Drosophila melanogaster: one gene and its partners. The protein of the gene in region 3 interacts with the protein of the main gene of each other region in a biochemical or structural test. Each region holds a gene or a part of one and is shown on either strand. Other genes may lie near its edges. The genes, in order: CYLD, LUBEL and Ubi-p5E.

Region 1 (9,185 bases), on a different chromosome or scaffold from region 3:
CAGTAAAAACAAAAAAGATTTTTAATAATTTTTTTGTTTGAATGCATGAAAAGCGGCAAAAATATGTATGAATTGTTATTCCGCCGGATAAACTTAAATCCAAAATTCAAAGCGATCAATTTAAATATATGTAGTGATTGGTTTGTTATTGAAAGCATGACAAAGTAAATTACTCTCTTACTTGAATCTCTGATTTCAAACAGTGCTTCTTTTCGCTACAGATCTTTCGACTGACCGGCTTAAGTTCGGCTCGAAATCCGCCTTTTGGATCCAGATCTCCATCAAGAACATTAACTAAATAGTTTATGTACAATATGGCCAACTTCAATGTTTTAATCTGTCAAGTAAACCAAGCAAACGGACACAAACAAACTTCAAATTTATAAATAATTGAATAAGTTATTATAAAATATATTTTTCGCTGGCTATTTTATCTTAATTCTTAAACAAAGTAAAAGTAGAATATAGTTAAGATTGACTTAAGTAGGAAACATTAAAATCCAACCTTCATGTGCTTATTGGTGTATTTAAGTATTAAATTCAAGATTATCTATCCGTCGGTGAAGTTACCTTTGATAATTTAGTATCTGTAGGAACGTTGGGAATCTTTTCTCGCAGATAGGAAAACGCATTGTTTATACTTTGGGTTCGCCTTCTCTCCTTTTTGTTAGCTGTATTACGTTTCTTAACAATCCGAGTATTCGAAGTTGGCACATAACCTAGGTGACTTGTGTTATATATTTGTTGCTGAACTTGACTTTCGGAGTCTGAAATATTTGGAAAATATATACATTATTTTCCATACACACGAAAATATAAAATAAAAGTCGCTTTTGTACTGGAATTGGTACCACAAATCACTGTCCCAATTTTATTTAAATAACAGCGAAGTAAGAAGAATGATTTAAACATTTACGTTTCATGTCGAACATGTTGGAAGTATTATAAATTGAGTTATAATACATGGTTGAGTATTCGCACGTCAAGGCAACGGAATTCTTAAACATTTTCTAATTTAACGTAATTAAATTCAAATCAAATTCGCGGCTTAAGATCGACATTTTCGCAGATAGTGCGTCGCACGTAAAACTCGTCTTTGATGTCTGGCAAGTAACTGAAAAACTTTTTCACTTGTTTAGTGAATGTGCGCCGTCGAGTGAACAACATCTGGATATCCTCCCTCCAAATCCACCAATCGCAATCGCCGACGTTTTGCGTCGACCAATGGTGGGCACTTCAAGATTTATATGTATGTATGTACTCCCGTGTATACATACATCCATATATATCCGGAATATGAACTGCCTTTCATGGTCTAGTGATCCGTAGTTCTCTAGATGGTTCAGTCCTGTTTCTGGAGTCACCTTGAAAACTTCTCCTAACAAAAAGCACTTCCTAATTGTTACAAACTTTTTGTAAAAAAAATATAAGCTACTTGGTATATTAGTTATAGAAAACCACCTATCTTTATTTTTTCCTGTTATATATGTAAAGCCTACCCATATTAATATCATAAAACATATTTTTCAACAAACCAATAACCATTAATAGGCACAAAATCCATTTCACATGTGATTTTTACAAAAATTTTATTGCATTCATTTAATTTATTGATAAATTTGCTCTAATGGTACATCATTATATCTGTGCTTTGGTACAGACACATATAGGCATCGCAAAAAATACGCTTGGCGTGTTCAGGTAATACTTTATCGTTCGTTGAAGTTTCATTTATAGATCGTGCGCCTTCTTCCGAGAGCCACTGTGTTAATTCTGGAACACACGTAATTTCAGGTATATTGTATCCATTCTGTTCGCCTGAAATAACATTTGCGTAAGTATAAGAAACTTGTTAGGTTAAAACTAAGATTTTGCTTGCCTTTTCGATCAGCCATTGAATCGAAGAAACACCATGGAGCATCTGGTCCGGATCCAGACTTGACAAATGCCACGTAGTGAGATGTTTCTATGCAAACGACTGCAAATAACTCCATGTACAATCGCGGGACAACCATGTGCTCGGCCATGATTTTAAATTCCTTCGGACTATAAATCTTCTTCGACACATGATTCGTTCTGAAAGATAGGTTTTTAATTGGTTTTCATTCATTTATCTATGAAGATAGCTGACCTTTTGATGTGACTGTGAAATGTCTTGAGACATTTTGGACAAAAGGCGGTGCATTCCAGTCCTGATCCAGCCTGCAAGCTGCCAAAGCAATCCCGGCACTCGTATTCAGCTAGTTTGCCACAAAGTGAGCACTGTCGAGGAGCTGCAAGTTGAATTTTGTTAAGATTCGAAATGCAAATTGTTATATTGTTGAACACCTACAATTTTCAATTATGTCTGTGACATCAAGAACCTGCGATGGCAATATCCTTGGATACATCTTGTAGTTCTTTCCGAAACGAGGCATTTGAATGATGAAACAAGAAGGAACCTCCTTTAGTTTTATATCCGATGAGTGAAAGCTTTGCTCAAACAATTGTTGCACACTCGGTAATGTTAACTTCTCATCCTTCTCCACAAAGAGTTGGTAAAAATAAGAATCTTGCCCCGAGCTTAGCTACAAAAAAAAAAAAAAAAAAAAAACATGTAAATTATTTAGTATAAAAATCTATGCAATAATGAGTACAATAAGCACCTTTAGAAACGGTTCAACTCGCATTATTTGTGAGAGCAAACTATTTAGGAACTCTTCAGGATCCTTTTCCTCGCAGGTGAGACCGCTGACCGAACTTAGCTGATCTAGGAGCTCGCGCAGTTTCATCACACGATCGGATCGAACGAAAACGTTTTTTCGCAATGGATTGACGATCTCATCGCGCAGAACCTTTTGAACCTCACTGTAATTTCGAATATCCTGTTGAAAATAAAATAATTTGTTATTGGTGAGCTGGGCAGACAAATCGAATAACTTACTTGTGGGCCCGGACGTCTGTACAGAATTGAATCGAAAACACTGGTGAAAGTGAACATGGAAAATAGAGTTGCATCAAGGTAGCAGGAATTATGGTGTCCTTGTATTCCTTTGAACTTTCCACATATGCTAGCAAGCTCATCGGAATTGTGTATTTCTGGAAAACAAATAGCTGCATGAACTCCTTTCCTTTATTAAATGTTTATTGTTATCTTACGTAATGGTGGTATCGAGCCATATATGGCAGGACAGTCAGCGACGCCAAATTTCTTTGCGTGATTACTAGAAACTCTGTTTGCAGAAATGCTATTATCTACATCAGCAAATCGCCGGTCAGCGGTGCATCTGTTGGCTGGTACAAAAATAGCTCGACCATCATGGCAAGTAAATAAGCTAAAACAAAACACAACACAGAAGATATTTTTCAGTTAAGAGTTTTTCTTGTATGAGTACCTATTTATGTGTTTTAAATGTTTAAAAGTATGACATACCGTACGCCATTGTGTCTCCCATCCGATGCCACTACATTTTTCAAGTTGGATTCGTCTTCTACCTCGATTCCGACGAGTACGTTTTTTTGCGGGCCAGGCGGTATACCTATCCATCTCACAACGCCATATAGATCTTCACATACTCCAGGATTCGAGACTTCGACGAGGGAACCAATCGCTAGCTCGGTTCCAGGTATTTCAATCAGAGGTTGATAATCAGCGATTGTAAAACCTAGGACAAGAATAAAATTAAAATAAATTTTAATTTCTTAGAAAATCAAATTAAAAAAAGCGGAACGATTTCATAATAGATCATACCAAGTTCTTCGGGCAATAAATTTGGTGAATAAAATTCTAGCACTGTTAATGGAATATTATTGTGGATATCCGAGTCAGAAGACAATTTTTGTTGGTATATATTCATTTTTGAAAGACGCACAGCACAATTTTAATTTCTTTACTAATTTTTATGTTTTTTTTTTTTTCAGCAATTGAGAACTTTGATAAAGTGCAGAACAAATAAAACTCCTCGACAAACTGCATATATCAACTCAGAGAACTGCCGTTTTACGTGAACGTAAATAGAATATATGTATGTGTCGTTATGTATTTGGCCGGCGTTCTATAAATAAATAGACGTTTTCATTTCGTTGTCTTTTGCAAGGAAGCAAAGTGAATACAAGTCTTACAACAACTGTAAAGTATCGAGAATAAAAGATTCAATAACAGTGAACGCTATATTCGAAAGAAGCGACTATTACATACCTGTTTACTCAGCTAAAAGAAGTGCGATACACTTGAAAATAGACAACCAGCACAAGGAGTGATGTAGCAGGCAGAATTTGAATGTCTTTTGCAAGCAGTACAGAAGACTGCTTGAGTAATTCCACTAACTAGAACTAGCTTTTACAGTTCCTGAGATCTCGTTATTTATATGGACGGACAAACAGGATTAAGATTAAGAGAGCTAGTAAACCTGACCAAGAATGTAGCAGGTCGGAACAGATTCCTTCCTTAGTTCTTAATAATGATATATTTCTTTTCTTTTTGAAGAAATGACAGTAAAATAAACTTACGTAAAGGTTCCTCCGGCTCTATTTTTAATATGGGTGAGGCTGGTTTTAAAATTAAGTCTACAGAATTACTAGGATCCGTTTTACTTTTGTTGTTTAAGATCATTGCAGCTGGTCCCGCTCGTTTTGGCCAATTTGTGCCCAAAATGTCTGCCAAATCCACATCCTCAAGATGTTGATTATCGACGGCACTATGGTTGGCATCGGTGTTTCTAAAAATCGCTCATTATTAGCTTTAAATGAATTGAAACAGTTTTACTACGTACTTTAAAATTCCGTTTTTTCTGTTAGGAATCTTTTTCGGGTATACATGGGTCTTGTGCTCGCTCTCGTTGGATAGTTCATAGTTTTCCAGGGAGTCCCCGAATCTATTTGTTATGGTCAGCTTTTTTTCTTTTTCTGCTTCATAATCGGATTTGGAATTCATTATTTCCAACTAAAGGCTATAATAACATTTGTATTAGTAATTAAATAAAAAGGATATACAAAATGTATTGGTCATAAGTGTTTTTTTATGAAAAATTTTAAAGAGCATGCTATATATTTGGCAGAGAGTATTCTACAGTCGAGTTAAAACTGTTAAACGAAATAATCAATGATACTCGATGTGACGGATTCTGTTTGTAACTGCTTAGTTTGCAGTCGCTTACATACATATGTACATATGCACGTAAGTATGTAAGAGACATCAGGTTGCTGTAACAGTAGTTCAATAAACATTCCATTGTTTTTACGCTAATTTCAATCTTGCATTAAATATTTATTTGCCAAGGAGGACTGCACAGAACAAGTAACAGGAAATACATGCATAACAAACACAATTCGTTAGCAACTTTTCCCTAATTGATAAAAACAATGACACACAACAATCGCGACTACATTGGTTTAATAATATTGCTGTTCGCTGAAATACCAAATGACCAATTAAGTTTTTAGCGCAACCCTGTTTGAGTTTTAATACAAACACACATAAATTGAACTAACAAATAAAAAGGTGTTTATATCCTGGATTTTTGTTTAGTATTTATAAAATTTGTGTCTTTTAGAATGCGATTGGAATGAATTCTGGATATCGTTATCGATTTTACCGCAATCGACAATTGTTGGGGGTAATCTTGAACCAAAAAAATACAATACAGTCAAAAAAACAAAGTAATAACGGTTTAAAAACGGTTTTATTATATAGAATATGTAACAGTATATTGCGATTTGTTTGTCGTTGCTTGTTAGGCTTAGTATGTTTTATTGCTTATGAATTTTATCATAAACTTTTAACAACAACAAAATAAACAATTTTATATATTCTAATATGCATTATATTTTATATTAAGCAACTTATTTTTTAGCATTTTTTTTATTGTGGGGAAAAAGTCTTTTAAAAGTCTGTCAGGTATATAATAATTCTCTGAATAGGATTATTTACGCTAAACATTTGATTAGATTATCACTTTTGAGCACCTTCTGCTGAAGCGGATTGGATTGGCAGTTCCACATGTATAGGACTTTGAAAGGCCATTGGTTGGAGTTGTACAAACTGAAATGGTATGGAGAATGGCATACCGCGATAGGCATTAGCCGATTCCTGTGGACTTAGGTCTACGTTGGAGCTATTGACAAAGTCTGGAGCAGAGTTGGCGGTCTCCAAATCCTTTCCCGTGATATTGAAAGGAGTAGGGGGACCGACGAGTTTCAGGGAAACCCCATCCCGTCCAGGAGAAGTCGATTCAATGCTAGTTTTGGGTACGTATTCCTGGTTATACTGCGAATCAAAACTACTTTTTGTTACGTAATCGTGCTTAAATTGAGGATCAATACTACTTTTCGTCACGTAATCGTGCTTAAATTGAGGATCAATACTACTTTTCGTCACGTAATCGTGCTTAAATTGAGGATCAATACTACTTTTCGTCACGTACTCGTTTTTAAACTGCTGATCGAGATTAGTTTTCGTTGCGTAATCGTGCTTTAACTGTGTGGGCACGGAGCTTTGATAGTCCTCCATCCTCGGAGGATGATCCAATTCCCTAGATTTGTATATCCTGTTGTAGTAGTTTGAGGATGGTAGGCTGGATGGTTCGTGTTCTCTGGGCGGTGGATGATCCATTTCCATGTTAAATTTGAACTCCTCGCCGCGTGGATAACTTTCGTAGAGTGATGATGACTCGAACTTATATGGCTCGCTGGAACGAATGTAAACGGGAACCTTTCGTTCTACCTCAACCTTATAGGGCACTGGTACCTTCTTCTCGAGATGAACTGGCACCTTTATTTCGACCGGATACGGAACAGTCCGGAGCACTGGATACGGTTTCGGTACGTGGACTATTTTCTCAATTATCTTTTCGACCACATATGGTTTGGGCACTTGGACTGGCTTTGGGATGTGAATCACCTTTTCCACTATCTTTTCGATAGGCACGTGCACTATTTTCTCAACTGTAACATTCACCAGCTTGGGCACATGTACGATCTTCTCGACAATTTTCTCAATGGGCACATGGACGACCTTTTCCACGGGATACGGTTGTGGTACTGTTTTGATCAGCTCCTTTATGTGGTTGTGATGATGGTGGTGATGATGATGCTTGATTTTCACCTTCATCCGCTTCGCATCCTTCTTACTCGAGTGCTCGACATGTTCGTGCAGAATCGCTTGTGTTCCGACCTGTTCGGATGCCTGGTATTGACCATCGTCCTCATCGATATGCTCGTGGATCTCTTCGAATGTATGATAATGCCTACTTTCCGTACTCTCATCCGCATAATTGGGACTCACATTTTTTCTTCGAGCACCAGATGGCTTATATTTCAGTTTATTCCTCGTCATTTTATCGCCTTGCTTTTGATAGTTTTTCACACCGCGTTTCAAAGTCACATTGCGTTCGGTTTCCCGATTATAATGTTGCAGATCCAGCTTTTCCGATCTTCTTCCGGTATTGTGAGTAGATCCTTTTCCGTATTCAGGATAGCTCCACTCGGCACTTTCGACACTATTGGTTTTATTCACAGCATAGGAATTACTGTGTGCAGTACTTCCAATAATTATTAAGGTTATGAATAGGTATCCAGGAATCAAAGTTAACTGAAATAGAAAGGATGCGCGTAAATGAAGTATGTACATACAAAATATCTCCTATCAAAAAGACAAATTGGAAATATAGCTTACCATTGGGTTCATTTTTTGTTAAGTATATAGTCTCGCTTGGATTTGAAGTGGTTTAATCAACGCCTTCAACAGAAATGATTTGAGCCAATCGAAGAAAGTATTTATATGAGCACGAAACATAATTAAAATGTGCAGAAGCAAATTTCTTCGCTTGAAGTTTGTACACTCTATATTTTTCTTAAATTAAGAAATTATACAAAAACATCAAGAACTAATTTGTTTTGGTTTGATTATTTAAAATGTATGCATGTTTTTATTCATTTTTAATTAGATATACAAATGTGTAGCTTTGAAATGCCGTCAGAAATAAACGACCTTTTTAAAAGAGAATAAAACTGCACAAGTTTACTTATATTTTTTTTTACGATTGAAAGCCCACGGTCGCGTGACGCAAGTTGTGTGTGTGTTTGAAGAAGTGTACAAGTGCAATATCTTTATAAATGTTTGAAATTTCTCTAGGTGAATATTTCACAGAAGCCCGTAAATGTAATAATTAAAGTGCATTGAGCTCCGCTTTACGGAAATGCTATGGATTGTGTAATTTCCTGCAGTATCCGTTGCTGTTTTCAAGACTACCAAAACTACGTTTTCCGGATACCCATTTTGGAATGCAGAGAACAGGGTTAATTAACACATAACATTGGAGCTCCTCTCGAAAGGCAAATAAAAAGTTTATTATACAAATTTAAGTTGGATATATCGGGAGCTTGAATAAACAATGGTCAGCTTAATCTAATTCGATTCTATTCTCTAAGAATAGGCTGCTCGTGTGCATCTTTGATTCCTTAATTTTTAAGTGCGAGCCCAGCAAATCGTCCATGGTGATGCGGACGTTGTTGCGATCAAGCGCTGTAGCTGACGGATCTCTGGACGTGATGAGCTGCCTCATTCGGTAAACTGAAGCATTCCGGCACATTTCCCGCAGGTCTGAGCCCGAGAAGCCATTTGTGAGCTTGGACAAGCGATTCAAGTCGACATCCTGACTTACTTCCTCCGATTGGAGGATCAGCTTCAGGATGTCTTTTCGTTGGGTCTCCGAGGGCAGACCAATGTGGAATTGGGCTGGCATGCGGCGCACAATGGCCTTGTCTAAATCCTGCGGCCTGTTCGTGGCACCCATCACAATCACCGTCGAGTTGGCGTTCGTGCTGAGGCCATCCCACAGCATCATAAACTGGGTCTTCATCATGGCGGTAGCCTCGTGGTCGTTCATGTTTCGAGATCGCAAAAATGAGTCTATTTCGTCAATAAAAATAATGCATGGCTCGATTCGCGATGCAAGCGAGAAGACAGCAGAAGTCAATTTCTGGGATTCCCCGTACCACTTGTCGGTAAGAATGGCGACGTCCAAGTTGATAAAGCGCATTCCCGCCTCTTTTGCCGTCGCCTTCGCTATCAGCGTCTTTCCACAGCCCGGTGGTCCATGGAGCAGGACGCCTTTGGGCGCCTGCCACAGCTTCGAATGCTTGAAGAGATCCTTGTGCTGGATTGGCAGCACCACCGATTCCCGGAGCTCCTGAATGACTGAATCCAG
Region 2 (7,625 bases), on a different chromosome or scaffold from region 3:
AGCCGTCGTGATACCTCAGGTCATTGGCACTCCGATAACGTTCACTCTCCTGTTGCAGCTGGGAATTGCTGCGATAGTGCGGACGTCGCTCCATCTTGTTTGGTTCTGGAGTCGTGAAGCGGTCAGGAACAACGGGGATGATCTCTTCTTGCTTTGTATTGAAGGGCAGAGCGTCGTAGGTCTGTGTGGAAATGCTTTGTGGAGGCGGGGAGGTTCCCATCTCCACAGCTGCTATTTCCCGGGGAGGAGTCCCACCACAGGCCGTGGAGACCTTCTGAGCCTTCTTGAGTACCTGCTCCGCCTGCGCCTGTATGCTCTCATCCAGAGTATTCCAAATGTTTTCAACGGACTCTGGAACGATACGGATGAGAGCATTAGCTTTTGGGGGAACGGGATCGGGGTCACCAACGGATTGAAATCAAACAAACGGAATGCGGCTTGGGTTATGGTTCTCTTTTGTATTTCGTTTCCATAAATGCGTTAATTGTAGGCTTACAGTTGATGGCTCTATTAGTGTACTAACTAGGTATAGTCTTTGGTGGTTGGGCTTAGGTCTTTGTGCCTTCGAAAAATGAGATTCTCTTTTGTATCCTACCTTTGTGCAGAAGACTCTTGGCCAGCGAGTTATCGGATTCATTTTCCGACGAAGTTTTCAGTGTGGATTTCGATGGTGTCTTGATAGGAATACTGGAGGTGGTCTTGGAGTTTACAGCTGGCGACGCTTTTGAGCTAGACGTGGAGTTGGTGTGAGTAGTCTTCGAAAGAGCAGCAACGGATTTCTGACTGGGTTGTTGGCTCTTTGTAGTAGGCTTTTGCACTGGCTTAGTTTCCGTCTTGGAAGACGCCTTGATATTGTTAGACTTTTCAGCTGGAGGCTGTGGTTTTTCCTCTACCTTTTTGGCCTTGTTGGGCTGCACTGGAGGTTTGCTGGGCGTCTTGCAGCATATGGAGCAGATCTTGATGTTGGGCTCGTTCACAAACGTGCAGAACTCGCATTCCCATTCGTGGTCTGGGGTAGAAGGTGGTGGGCCGAGATCATCAGCCCCAATCTCGTCAGGAACTTCCTGGGGATCGGGTGCTGTTTGAGCCTCAGCCTCACTCTCTGAGGCGGTTACCTCTTCGACCACTTCCTCGTATTCCGAGGCACTCTCTTCATGGGCTGGTGGCACCACCACCTTTTGCACCACCGCTGCCGCCTGTGTATTCTCGTCCTTCATCTCCGGCTTGCGTTTTGGCTCAGCCTTCTTCGAGGATTTGTGCTGATCGGCTTCTTGGAGCTTCTGCTGAATTTTAGCTTGAACCAAGGCCCGAGCACCCGATCCCTCAGACTCCAGATCGGAGTAAATGCGACTGGTTCTGGCCGAGTCCGTTGCTGTTTTGTTTCTGGTAAGGGTTCCCTCATTTTCCCGTCGCTCCGGTAGCCACTCACTCTGCACGGACTTGGCAATGGATCCCCGACGATTCCGCATCTTGTGATGCACCTGATCGCCGTCCAATTCATCGCTGGCTATGAGTTGGGAGGCACTGGACAGGCGCCTTTGGCGGGGCTGGATATGGTTTTGGTGATGCTGGGAGCGCGAGGCACTAGTCATGCCCGAGCGATTGGACACCAAAGATCTGCGGTCATCCTGGTCGGAGTCCTCGTCATCCGTAAGTTCGTCATCCACGTAGCTATTGCGCTTGCGACGCAAGGACATCGATTTGCGGCTGGGTGTTGGTGATGCAGCGTACCGGGAACGGGATGCAGCTCTGGAGGCAGCTGAAGGTGGCATTCCCATGACACCTGCGCATTTAAAGTGCAATATGTAAATTAAAATATAACTAATAGTGCCTCATTTTACCTGGATGCATCATGGGATAGCCTGGTGCTCCTGGATACACATTGGGCATCATACCACGCTGGGTCATAAACACTGGTGGCGGATAGTGTGGATGATGTTGCTGCGACATGTAACCCGGTCCAACGTTCAGGGACAGATTGGAGTTGTTGAATTGCTGTTGGGAGCCGAACTGTGACCACTGATCGGGATGCTGGTGCTGAGGAAGTGCTTGGTGCGGATGCTGTGCCCAGCCAGGATGCTGCTGACTCTGTTGACATCCAGCGCAGTTTAGCTGCGCCAGGGATTGGGCCTGCAAGCGGGATGGTATCTTAGTTTCTAAGGGAGCATGAAACTCTAACTCACCTGCTGGATGCGCTGATTGGCGAGCCAGGCACCTCCGTTTTGGGCCTCGGACAGTGGTCGACGTGGATTCGAGTTGAGATTGAACACCGATGTGCTCATCTGTCGCCGCTGGGCGCCGGCCGCCTGTCGTTGTTGGAGCAGCAAGGAATTGTGAAATTGTGAGTCATCCGAGAGATCGAAATGGGATGAGTTCAGGCCGGATGACATGCTGCCGGAACGAAAATGCGAGGGCGATGGTGAAATGTTTGACCAGTGCTCGAAGCCGGCTTCATTCGACAAATGCTGCGCTTGGGAAATGACCAACGAGAAACGGAAAAAGAAAGAGAGAGAGAGAGAGGAAAGGGAGAAACGACACATGACGAAACGAGACGAGACGATACGATACGAAGTGCAAGGATCAAATACTATCAAGGATCAATGATTAATAAATTAACATTTCATTTACAATTATAACTGATCCTTGACACAATTTTCGCCGAGCAAAGACAATACGATACACTCAGTGATGAGGGGACTCGTACGATTGTGATTCGGGGTCAACGGGTCACTCACCTGTTCGCTGTTGGCGCTCAGATCCTGGCGAGCCTTCTGTTGGCGGTACCGCTGCTGCAGAATGGCCATGCGGTCCAGCGTGGCGCTGGCCTTGCTCTTGATCTTCTCCAGCTGCACCGACGGCGGTCGCTGGATGGTGTCGAACACGGACTTGGGGGTGCCCGATCTGGAAGATCCCCCGCCCTCGCTGCGCGGTGGATCGGGCAGTGGTCGGTTGTTCATCTGGTTGGCAGAGCTGGTGGCAATTGGTGGCACTGGGGGCGTGGCCCCGCCACCGAGCGATCCCCGCCAGCCGCCCAGCGACTTGTGCGAGGGCGTGGGCGAGGGCGGCGGCAGCATCTGGAAAAGAGTCGGGTTGGGTGCCATTTCGTATGGGTATTCGGGTAACAATTGAAAAAGTATGTCTGGATCGCTGTTTCTACAATTTTGGTCGGGCGTTCTGGTTGTAAGGACTCTTTTATTGAAGCATTCAAATTGAAGTTTACAAACTTGGTACTACGTGTAGCCCATGAAGGAGCCTTTCTTACGGGTCTAGGAGATCGTGCAGTGGCGTACCTGATCCTTGCGGCCCAGAAACGGTGTCAAAAGGCCTCGTTTGCTGCGTCGTGGAGGTGCCACTGGTGGTGGTGCCCCACCACCGGCCTGTGCCTTTGGCGGAATCGGCGGTGTGCCCTGCTCCACAGCCTGCAAAACGAAGTTCTTAAGTTCAAATTCATAATGGATCGGGAGAACTTACCTTTCTCATGTGCTGCTTACGTTTGGGATGCTTGTGGAACATGTCGTCGCAGGAGGCGCAAAAGATTTGGCCGGCGCACTCGGCACAGGTTACCCAGGGATTCTGGGAACCGCACAAGGTGCACTTTAGTTTGTTATCTGCAAGTGATAATTATCTCTGGTAGTATTTTAAATAAGTGGAATATATAAAAAGGTTGCCCACCTGGTGTCTTGGTTCTGATCACTGTGGTCTTCATCGGTTCGTTGGAGTACTGCTGGCTGGAGAATTCGATGATCTCGTAGTCCGGCTCGGGAGTGCTCTTCGCCTTGGGCGGCAGAGCAGGCGCCTTGGGAAGACCACCAGCCACACCGTTTGGTGGCGTGGGTGGCGGTTTGGGCCCAATGCGGTCATTTGCCTCCATCTGAAATGGGTAATTAGTGCAATTGGATATTGACTGGCAAACTGGATATTGGCTTACCACCCAGGAGGGCATGGTGCGAACATTCTTGTTTAGCAACTGGTGGGTCGTCATCTTGGTCGATTTTTTCGTCTGGGTTTTGCCGTCACTTAATCGTCTTTTTGCGCTTGATTGGTTTTCTATTTCATCGAAATACGTAAGCAGCAAAATATTAATATTATTATAATTATTTATAGATCGCAAATACCCTGTGCCATATTTTCGCCCAACCGCAGCCACTTCAAACGACTTCAAATTCAATTAAGCAAAGTGCCAGAAAATGCGAATTATGAATGCATATTTTTAGCTGGCTCACCCAAATTCCGAAGCCAATGACCAAAATGCAGTTTCGTGGATGCCGTGCACAAAACTAAACGCTGCCACAGTTCGATCGCGAATAAAAACGCTAAATGTAGTCGAAAATATCTTTCGGTGCATAGAAAACAAAAATTGAAAAATGTATATATTTTGGCATAACATTTTCGGTCTTGTTTATTTATGAAATCATGCGAAAGAGGGAAGTGCTGTTTTGTGACTCAATCGACTCATTCTGTCAACGCGGCTAAGTGGCTGAGATGCCAAGAAAATTGCAAAAGAGATTAGACTAGGGAGAAGAATTCGAATTTGAAAATAGTTCTCAAAAGTTTCGAATAGAAGAGTATTTCATGTAAATGCTTGAAAATAAAAGCGAGCGAATAAAACTAACAGAGAGAGGGAAAATATTGACTAAAAGCTGAGCGAATATGCATTTGGTAATGACGCAGGTGGCCAAATCGTTGCCAAATAGTTTAAATTAAATAATGGCCTAAACAACATAATAATTCCATTAGTAAAGGTATTTCAAATGCTGACTTTAGTATATATTTTAAGTTTACTATAATTGCGTCCAAGGCATCAAACTTTTCAACTCAAAGGGCAACGCACCGGTAAAAGTTATATGTATATAACTAAATATTTCATATATAATTAACTTATTAGATATCTATGTTTCTTCATGTTTTATGAAATGTGTATCTATGATACCAAGGAATCATTTATCTCTTGCATATTCTTGTAAGTTAAGATTGAATGTTAATTAAACTTTTTAATATACATATCTGCACTTCAAAGTTTTCCTTACTACATTTTATATTCCTGATACTTTGAGACAATTTCCCGTTTATTGAATATGTTTTATATCTCAATAATATCTTTTAGAGCATATATTAATCCAGCAGCTCTGGCATATTTTCCACGCACTAGTTAAGTGCGTAACGAGCCATAAAATTTATCCATAAATTTCGGAGTCGCGACGCCTCAGCCAGCATAGCAAAAATCAAGCCACACTGTTCTCTCGCATTGCGTATACGCAACGTGTTCGCTGGGCCTGCACTCCCGTGTCTGTTGCGCTATTTTTGAAACCATCCGCAGCCACTCCATACATTTGCCCCGAAATTGTGTCACACTGTGCAGCAATATTTATGAAAGCCGCCTGCAGTGGTGGGAGGGGCATGGCCCGGTGCCACCTCAATCCCGCCCAGAAGATCGGCCTGCTCCGTGCGGCGACTTCGAGTGGCAAGTGGCCTGGCAAGAGGCAAACGCAACGCTGACTCACAGACACAGACTCACGCGGCGAGGGAAAAAGTTTTATTTTTATAGGAGAACGAACGGTGGGAACTATTTTTAAACATTTCTTTGGCTTGCCTATATTTGCGTTTTTTTTTTTAGTTCACAGTTTTTCATTATTTCAAATTGGCAAATTAGCTTAAAAAATTTGATTTAATTTTGTATACTTTATTTTACGCTTTGATTGTTTATCCCGGCCAATGCCTTGAACTTTCCCATGGAGAGCGTTCTCCGCGTTTAAAATTAGCTGAGTTTTATATTTAGAACACTTGAGATCGATTTAATTGCGGTGTGATTTTAAATTGGCTTTTGAACTTTCGTAATGGATTCGATCGACCATGAACGGTTGGATATCCGCGAAATCAGAGGTCACTTACATAATTCGATTTCACTTGACGCGTCTTGCCGCACTCAAAACTGCCACTGCCAGCTGGTAGCACATGAATATATATATATATATATATATATATATATATATATATATATATATAGGGATATATATATTTTCCTGATATCTAGCCACAGCGCGACATGAAAATTCAGCTACGGTCTCGTTCGACGATCGTCTCCCAGCGAACTGAAATCTCAATCAGATTCTAAACAGCACTTTTACTGCAGTCCGCGGTCCCCAGTCGTCGCCCGAGTAGGAGGAAGTCAACGCAGATCTATGTGCTCCTCTGGTCTCGTCTGGTACGGTTTCCCCCTGGTGATCCCCTCAATCCTCGATCAGTCGCATCTCTTTCCTATTTTCAGCATTTTCGCGTTGTTTTATAAATACATCGTTTTCGAGCGGCATAGAACATTTTGACTGCGAGACGCCGTCGCGTGTGTGAATATCATTAATTCTCGAATATATATCATTCTCAGCTATTTGTTGTTAAACATTTTACGTTGTTATACGGAACTGATTACTTGTTGCGTTTCTTTTTCATGAATGAAAATATGACAATTGTATCGAATTGATGTCCTGCGATCTGATCGACTATTGAACTTTATGGCGTACCTACATATATCATTACCAAAGTTCAAGTTCAATGGAATTTCAGATAACATAAATATTTCCGCATTAATTCTTATTATTTATCTAATATTTTATCCAAAAAACCGTGGCGCCTGGGGAAAGCGCTGAATCGTTCATCGGGATACACGCCAGCTATAATTATGATTTATGAAAAACAAGTATCTGAAGGGATCTCCCGCAGTTTAGCCTTGAACAAATTCTGCACATTTAATGCTAACAATAAAGAAGAACATCTATTAATTTTGGATCGAACAAATGGTATCAGCAATAAAAGCATCGCCATGGGCCACCTGCTGCCGGCCGGAGGTGCAAATCGAGTGGCAATTTCGATGGATGGACGATGGATGGGAATTATGGAATTAAAGCCTCCGTGGGTGGGTCCATTTTCGGTTTTCCTAGCTAGCTGGTCTAAAAATAAATACAATGCATAATAAATTGGCTGCGCGACAAAGTCAAAGTTCGACAATTGCCGGCACGCACATTTTCGGTTGGGAGACCATTTGCCCACCATCCTGCAAAAATGGGTGGGCCGCCCACGCAGTGACCTTGCCGCGTTTGACGCAAGCCGATGTTTTCAGGATCAGCTGACTGTCAGCTGTATGTAAACAAGTTAAAATGCCGGGTTCCTCTCCTTCGGCCACTGCAAAGCATTCGGGAAGCTTTCCCATGAGCGCTTGTGTAGAAATCGCGCGCCATTTTCCGGCCGAGCTTTTCCCGAGCAATATTCTATTCGAAGTGGCATGTAGATATTATGTAGATTTTCTTGCAATCGATAACAGCTGCGAACGTAAAGCCCTTCGAATGTTAACGAAACCCCTGAGTTTTGGCCAGCATTTTCCGGCTGCATTCGCGAAATGTTCGCTGCAGGCAATGGACGCGAGTGGAAAACTCAAAGGAAAATATTTACGGTTAGCCTGCCGCCATCGTGTTGCGTGTACAAAAGGGGCGTGTGCGTGCGCTAGTGTGTGTGAGAGAGTGTGTAGTTGTGGGCCAGGGGAATTGAGAATTTACTAGTAGTATCCCAGTTGGGCGCTCAAGCAGTACGTGCGAAAAATTAAGCGTTAAAAAAGTGCCTTTATAATTTACCGATTA
Region 3 (7,791 bases):
GCTTGACGTGTGCTTTGGGTTAATCATGATGGGTAATATATGTACACAGGTCAGTGGTTAGAACTTACAAGTCCAACTAGCTTTTGTAGAACCTTATTTTCGTGCTTGAGAAGGAATTAAATCTTGAATGGAGCAAATATCATACATGCAAGTTGAGATTCATTAGATTCATTAAATATTAAGTATTGTGGCTTTGTTAGCGGTTGGTAAAGAAAAAGTTGATACTCTATATGGGAATATAAATAATTGATATAATTTAAGGAACACTTCTGTATCATCATTATCTTCTTCAGGGTATCCAATCGTATCAAAGGGTATCAAAGTAGTACACCAAAAAGTGTACGAAATAGAGACTTTCAGGACACGTGAAGCGTGAAACTTTGGGGGCTTCGAGGCAATTAATGGATTACATAAGAGTTGGCTAATTGTACTTATTGATTGAAACGCAGGCCATGCTCATGCGAAACCGGTTGTGGTCGGAATAGGAGCTTCATGCATTAAGGAAAGTGGAGCGTACGAAATGATGATGATGAAATGCCTTATCAGGAATACTGGTGTTCTAGCGAGATAAGGAGATCAATCCGTGTGGGAGCGGAGAAGGGAAATCCGCAGGGCTTTCTTTATTTACATGATGATATGGCATTTTGGCTTGGTTGGGTCTTTGCATGCACTTGCTGGACAGGATTCTCACCTAATTGGGCTTTTCTTCTTGATGTCCGCAGCAGCCAGGTCACCAATGTAGTATTTCTTCAACATCTCTCTGAAAAGGCAAGTGGGGAAGAAATGTGAATCAGGTGATCCAGGCGCACTGGCTATAAGATGGACTCTCTAACCTCGCCTCCGAGCTGTGACCCACGTCATTGAAGGCCTTGGTGGCATCGCGACCGGCCTCATCCACCAGGGATTCCTCGCCACCGGGATGCTGGAGATAAGGGCATCGAATTAGATGGATTCGCCACCCCCCCCTAAAACCAACAATCTGCATCGCCACTTGCCTCGAGACGGAACTTGGTCACATCGTAGACCTTGTTGTCGATGACCACCCACAGATCCGTGGCTTTGTTGTGTTCGTTGACGGTGGCCAAACGGATTTCCTTGCTCATCTTGCCTGACTGCGCCTGCCTGCTCTTCTCCGCAAATTTAACTAAATAACGCAAGCTAACAGGTTTTCGGACTATTCCAGTGTGGCCGGCTCCACTTTTCGTTGGAGTCAGCTGGTCACACAAAATACCCCAAATATACCACATAAGGTACCTAAGCAATAATTCCAATGTACCTGTGGTACAATTCCAGTAAAATACAATAGAGTATTACAAATTTAAATATTCAAATTAAATCCACCACTCCAACGCCATCCAATGTTTATTGCAACTTTCTATCAAGAATCCCCCACAAAATTAAAAACCCTGGGAAACACAGATAAAAACTACATAGAGTATTACATTGAACACACAAATTGAAAATTTTATTCTTCGAATACCAATAATTATTGTGATTGATTATTTTGTGCCTTTGAATAAACCAATTTACTAAAACTTAGTATGAATTCTTGAGTTATGCCCTGTGGCACAACTAACTAACTTCAATTTTTATAAGGGTGAAAAAATCTAGATGGCGCCACCACGCAGACGCAGGACCAAGTGAAGGGTCGACTCCTTCTGGATGTTGTAGTCGGACAGAGTGCGTCCGTCCTCGAGCTGCTTTCCGGCGAAAATCAAACGCTGCTGATCTGGGGGGATTCCCTCCTTGTCCTGGATCTTGGCCTTAACGTTCTCAATGGTATCGGATGGCTCGACCTCCAAGGTGATGGTCTTGCCAGTGAGGGTCTTAACGAAGATCTGCATGCCACCACGCAGACGCAAGACCAAGTGAAGGGTCGACTCCTTCTGGATGTTGTAGTCGGACAGAGTGCGTCCGTCCTCCAGCTGCTTTCCGGCGAAAATCAAACGCTGCTGATCTGGGGGGATTCCCTCCTTGTCCTGGATCTTGGCCTTAACGTTCTCAATGGTATCGGATGGCTCGACCTCCAAAGTGATGGTCTTGCCAGTGAGGGTCTTAACGAAGATCTGCATGCCACCACGCAGACGCAGGACCAAGTGAAGAGTCGACTCCTTCTGGATGTTGTAGTCGGACAGAGTACGTCCGTCCTCCAGCTGCTTTCCGGCGAAAATCAAACGCTGCTGATCTGGGGGGATTCCCTCCTTGTCCTGGATCTTGGCCTTAACGTTCTCAATGGTATCGGATGGCTCGACCTCCAAGGTGATGGTCTTGCCAGTGAGGGTCTTAACGAAGATCTGCATGCCACCACGCAGACGCAAGACCAAGTGAAGGGTCGACTCCTTCTGGATGTTGTAGTCGGACAAAGTGCGTCCGTCCTCCAGCTGCTTTCCGGCGAAAATCAAACGCTGCTGATCTGGGGGGATTCCCTCCTTGTCCTGGATCTTGGCCTTAACGTTCTCAATGGTATCGGATGGCTCGACCTCCAAGGTGATGGTCTTGCCAGTGAGGGTCTTAACGAAGATCTGCATGCCACCACGCAGACGCAAGACCAAGTGAAGGGTCGACTCCTTCTGGATGTTGTAGTCGGACAGAGTGCGTCCGTCCTCCAGCTGCTTTCCGGCGAAAATCAAACGCTGCTGATCTGGGGGGATTCCCTCCTTGTCCTGGATCTTGGCCTTAACGTTCTCAATGGTATCGGATGGCTCGACCTCCAAGGTGATGGTCTTGCCAGTGAGGGTCTTAACAAAGATCTGCATGCCACCACGCAGACGCAGGACCAAGTGAAGGGTCGACTCCTTCTGGATGTTGTAGTCGGACAGAGTGCGTCCGTCCTCCAGCTGCTTTCCGGCGAAGATCAAACGCTGCTGATCTGGGGGGATTCCCTCCTTGTCCTGGATCTTTGCCTTAACGTTCTCAATGGTATCGGATGGCTCGACCTCCAAAGTGATGGTCTTGCCAGTGAGGGTCTTCACAAAGATCTGCATGCCACCACGCAGACGCAGGACCAAGTGAAGGGTCGACTCCTTCTGGATGTTGTAGTCGGACAGAGTGCGTCCGTCCTCCAGCTGCTTTCCGGCGAAGATCAAACGCTGCTGATCTGGGGGGATTCCCTCCTTGTCCTGGATCTTGGCCTTAACGTTCTCAATGGTATCGGATGGCTCAACCTCCAAAGTGATGGTCTTGCCAGTGAGGGTCTTAACGAAAATTTGCATATTGCCTGAGTGGAGAAATGAAAAAGGGAAAAAGTTGGCTTGAGTAATGGAAAGTGGAAGGAAATTGATTTTCTGCGTAGTGACCCAATTCCCGTGACCCAGAAAAGTATTTTAGCATACACATACAGAAAACATTATTGGTTTTTTCGTTAATGTTTTCACAGCTTGCATTATTTCGCCATGAAATGGCAAATTTAGTTTTGGTGACTAATCTCTAACTTCGTTAAAAAAAATCCCCTGGAACTGGGCATACACACACACACACACACACACACACACACACACACACATAGATAGAAGCATGGAAAGCACCGTTTTCTGCTTGCTGCATCGCCATTTTGAATGCAACTAAGAAAAACTATTAAGCAATTGCCAAACTGAACTCACCTTATTTTCTTGTTTCGCACACAAAAGTTAATTTATTTCTTTACTGTTGGTCTGCACTTTTTGAAATATTCAAAAACTTGCTTTTATTTTACTTGCTCGGACGTCCGCTCTCTACGACTTTTTCACAGTTTATGATTCGTTTCGCAGCCCCACGCTGGTATTTATAGGCAGCTGACTGGAAAGTCGTCGCCTGCTCTCTCGCTCACTCTCGGGCGGTAGGTTACTTTGTTTTCGCTCTCTGCCACTTAAAGTGACCGTTTCTTTTGTCTAGTCTATTGGAAATGAGATTTCGCATTGACAAGAGTATTTAACACATGAAGGCCAATCAATTGGCTAGCTGCAATACGCAAAATTGGGCATTGAAAACAAAATGCGTAGTGCATATGTGCACTGCTTTTATCTCGCTCGCTCTCGTGAGCGAGAGAGCGGAGTTATCGATAAGTTGCCTGACCCTCTTTCCAACACTAATCTCAGCTGTTGAAGTGTATGCGTTTGTGTGTGTATTCTAACAGAGGGAGGTGTATAAATTTGTATATACATACATATGTATGCATGTAGACGCACAGACATCTTCTTGTGACGTTCTTTGTTTGGCGAGTTAATCGACCTTTTTTTGTTTTGACGCCGCCTGGGAGATTTGTCTTCGCTTTGGTCATCAGCCTTTAGACAAGAGAGCCCAACAATTTAAAATTTCCCACCAACCCACTCGCACATAAGCCAGTATGCGTACAATGCTATTTCCATATGTACATATGCATTACAATTGCATCTGGAAAGTTCCAGGAATGGAAGGGTCTGATGAAATCTGATGTATGCTGATTTCAGCAGCTTAACCCTTGATGTAACCCCTTAAAATAGTAAACGTTATTAACTCTTTAAGTACAAACTAAAGATATAGGATAATATATACAATTATTCAAATAATTGTCATGAATTTCTCATACTAACAATCCAGTGTACATGTATTCCCCATGATATGACAAAAAAAAAAAAACAAAATAAAGTTTTTCCTTCCAAAAAAGTGAAGTTTTTTTTGGAATTGGTAGCTTCTTACTATAAAATAGTTCCAAGTTACACGAGATTTCATTAAGTTTGCTTTATATTAAGAAATAAATTAATGTATTTATGGATCCAAATATAAGAAATGTTTTACAATTATGGAATTCCACGCAGCTGGAGATGCCCAGCGTGTTCAGCGAGTGCGGGCAGTTGGCGTTCGTGCAGGTGTTGCAGCCCCCCAAGTGGGGCATGTCGCTGAACGGCGGATGGTTGTAACAGTACGGGCAGAACGGATACGAACGCCCCTTCACGCCAGTGGAGAAAGCCAGCAGATCATCCAGCGGGCACTTGAACTCGCGATACACCTTCACATTCCAATGGGCAGGGCGTATGTCTCATCGCAATGAGAGCAGTGCAATCTTGCCGGTAGAGCAGTGCAATGCCCGACTCGGCCAGCGGCGAGAAGGATACCTGAAACAGTGCGTCCATGCTGTCGATGTTCTTCACAAAGTACATAAACTTCAGCTTGAAGATCTTGATGGCGTGTCGCAAAACATCCTGAAAGTTAGCCGATCCCTGGGCAATCAACGTCAGCATGCGCTCCACCTCCGTTCGCATGGTGAACGTGGTGATCTGGGGGGATTCCCTCCTTGTCTAGGATCTTGGCCTTGACGTTCCCAATGGTATCGGATGGTCCAACCTCCAAAGTGATGGTCTTGCCGGTCAGAGTCTTAAAGAAAATTTGCATATTGGCTGCGAGTGGAGAAATGGAAAAGGAAAAAAGTTGGCTGAGTAATGGAAAGTGGAAGGAAATTGATTTTCTGCGTAGTGACCCAATTCCCGCGACCCAGAAGAGTATTTTAGCATACACATACAGAAAACAAACATTATTGGTTTTTTCGTTAATTTACAGTAAATTTAGGTTTGGTGACTAATCTCTAACTTAGTCAAAAAAAAATAATAATAAAATCCCCTGGAACTGGGCATACACACACACACACACACACACGACAAGTGTGTTCATGCTCAAATTCGAATTTGGATTAATTAATTTGAATTAAAATTAAAATTTGAATTAAGAATTTAAACATGTTTTGATTCTTTCGGAGCGGAACAACCTCTTAGAAAGGGAAAAGGCTTAAAGGTCGCGGACAGACAACTAATCATCCTCTCGCCGTTCTGATGCCTAAGCAAAGGCTCTGGTGTCCGATTAGAGGCGGCATAAACCTCCACCGGTAAAACGCCAGGGAGAAATCCGTGGCCCACAATGGATCCCTTTCTAACGTTGGTGACCAACAAGCCGTAGTCCGCCCATTAGATCAGATGGACAGAACAGGGGAGGCAGTGCCCGATCCCAACGACCCGTTCAGGAGGAGCTACAGCCTATCGAGATCCCCTACAAGAGGAGTCCGAACTCCAATTCACGGAGCGAGGGGTGAGCAAGCAGCCGAAAACTAGCGACTGCAGTGCAGCTGTAGATGTGGAGACTTTGGCCCCTACAGCTTCTATGACTGCCACAAGCCAGAAGACGATGGACTTCATTAGCGTGCCTCCTCAAGGGCGGGAACAAAGTCCCCATCACGATCTCCGCATCGCTCGTCGGATCTGACCATGACCTGCTCACCGATAAAATACTTTGACTGGCAGTGCCGGTGAGCTTGACAAGGACAGGAGAGAGATCAGAGATTTTTGTTTAGTACGTAGGCATAATTCTCTAGCTGAGAGTTATGAATCGTGCATGCCATCTACGGACGGTGGACGGTATCTTTGAATTTCATTTTCCTGCCGTATATAAAAAAAACACACAGATGCATGGAATGCACCCTTTTTCGCTTACTGCACTTGTTGCTTCGGCATTTTAAAAGCAACTAAAAAAAACTATGAAACACTTGCCAAACTAACCGGAATTTTTTTCCTGTTTCGCACAGAAAAGCTAATTTATTTCTTTACATTTGGTCTGCACTTTTTGAAATATTCAAAAACTTGCTTTCTTCACTTGCTCGGACGTCCGCTCTCTACGACTTTTTCACAGCTTACGATTCGTTTTACAGCAGCGCGCTGGTATTTATAGGTATAGGTATAAGTTGACTGGAAATTCGCCGCCTGCTCTCTCCCTCACGGTGGGTTAATTTGTTTTCGCTCTCTACCACTTAAAGTGACTGTGAAGGGTCGACTCCTTCTGGATGTTGTAGTCGGACAGAGTACGTCCGTCCTCCAGCTGCTTTCCGGCGAAAATCAAACGCTGATGATCTGGGGGGATTCCATCCTTGTCGTGGATCCTGGCTTTGACGTGTTTGATGGTATCGGATGGCTCAACCTCCAAGGTGATGGTCTTGCCAGTGAGGGTCTTCACAAAGATCTGCATGCCACCACGCAGACGCAGGACCAAGTGAAGGGTCGATTCCTTCTGGATGTTGTAATCGGACAGAGTGCGTCCGTCCTCCAACTGCTTTCCGGCGAAGATCAAACGCTGTTGATCTGGGGGGATTCCCTCCTTGTCGTGGATCCTGGCCTTAACGTTTTCAATGCTATCGGATGGCTCGACCTCCAAGGTGATGGTCTTGCCAGTGAGGGTCTTCACAAAGATCTGCATGCCACCACGCAGACGCAGGACCAAGTAAATGGTCGACTCCTTCTGGATGTTGTAGTCGGACAGAGTGCGTCCGTTCTCCAGGTGCTTTCCGCCGAAGATCAAACGCTGATGCTCTGGGGGGTTTTCCTCCTTGTCCTGTATCTTGGCTTTGACGTTTTCGATGGTATCGGATGGCTCGACCTCCAAGGTGATGGTCTTGCCAGTGAGGGTCTTCACGAAGATTTGCATGCCACCCCGCAGACGCAGGACCAAGTAAATGGTCGACTCCTTCTGGATGTTGTAGTCGGACAGAGTGCGTCCGTTCTCCAGGTGCTTTCCGCCGAAGATCAAACGCTGATGCTCTGGGGGATTTTCCTCCTTGTCCTGTATCTTGGCTTTGACGTTTTCGATGGTATCGGATGGCTCGACCTCCAAGGTGATGGTCTTGCCAGTGAGGGTCTTAACGAAGATCTGCATGCCACCACGCAGACGCAGGACCAAGTGAAGGGGATGTTGTAGTCAGACAGAGTGCTTCCGCCCTCCAGTTGCTTTAGTTGTGGTGACTAATCTCTAACTTCGTTAAAAAAAAATAAGATCCTCTGGAACTGGGCATACACACAC

The links.
Region 1: of the proteins of Ubi-p5E (region 3) and CYLD, one has a biochemical effect on the other in vitro, tested with the Drosophila melanogaster proteins (2 studies listed by BioGRID).
Region 2: of the proteins of Ubi-p5E (region 3) and LUBEL, one has a biochemical effect on the other in vitro, tested with the Drosophila melanogaster proteins (one study listed by BioGRID).

Annotation. Positions count from the first base shown.
Region 1 is NT_033779.5:10,294,293-10,303,477, forward strand, and holds CYLD (cylindromatosis), read right to left. Parts: upstream 5,556-9,185; 5' UTR 5,455-5,555; intron 4,929-5,454; 5' UTR 4,913-4,928; coding exon 4,752-4,912; intron 4,698-4,751; coding exon 4,489-4,697; intron 4,122-4,488; exon of another isoform or gene 3,837-4,121; coding exon of another isoform or gene 3,731-3,836; exon of another isoform or gene 3,686-3,730; intron 3,645-3,685; coding exon 3,413-3,644; intron 3,315-3,412; coding exon 3,139-3,314; intron 3,079-3,138; coding exon 2,924-3,078; intron 2,865-2,923; coding exon 2,646-2,864; intron 2,568-2,645; coding exon 2,333-2,567; intron 2,274-2,332; coding exon 2,132-2,273; intron 2,077-2,131; coding exon 1,880-2,076; intron 1,819-1,879; coding exon 1,625-1,818; 3' UTR 1,567-1,624; downstream 1-1,566. Other genes in the region: hand, read right to left, coding at 182-337, 571-767, 917-1,007; CG13138 (uncharacterized protein), read right to left, coding at 5,930-7,567, 7,652-7,663; nmd (no mitochondrial derivative), read right to left, coding at 8,379-9,185.
Region 2 is NT_033779.5:6,766,663-6,774,287, forward strand, and holds the start of LUBEL (linear ubiquitin E3 ligase), read right to left. Parts: upstream 4,307-7,625; 5' UTR 4,224-4,306; intron 4,048-4,223; 5' UTR 3,983-4,047; coding exon 3,929-3,982; intron 3,872-3,928; coding exon 3,673-3,871; intron 3,609-3,672; coding exon 3,472-3,608; intron 3,420-3,471; coding exon 3,291-3,419; coding exon of another isoform or gene 3,267-3,290; exon of another isoform or gene 3,175-3,266; intron 3,075-3,174; coding exon 2,736-3,074; intron 2,466-2,735; coding exon 2,184-2,465; intron 2,131-2,183; coding exon 1,842-2,130; intron 1,784-1,841; coding exon 596-1,783; coding exon of another isoform or gene 549-595; exon of another isoform or gene 434-548; intron 352-433; coding exon 1-351.
Region 3 is NC_004354.4:6,275,537-6,283,327, forward strand, and holds Ubi-p5E (Ubiquitin-5E), read right to left. Parts: upstream 4,112-7,791; 5' UTR 3,600-4,111; intron 3,218-3,599; 5' UTR 3,213-3,217; coding exon 1,608-3,212; 3' UTR 1,340-1,607; downstream 1-1,339. Other genes in the region: CG3566 (uncharacterized protein), read right to left, coding at 692-760, 834-922, 996-1,103; CG11700 (uncharacterized protein), read right to left, coding at 6,742-7,647.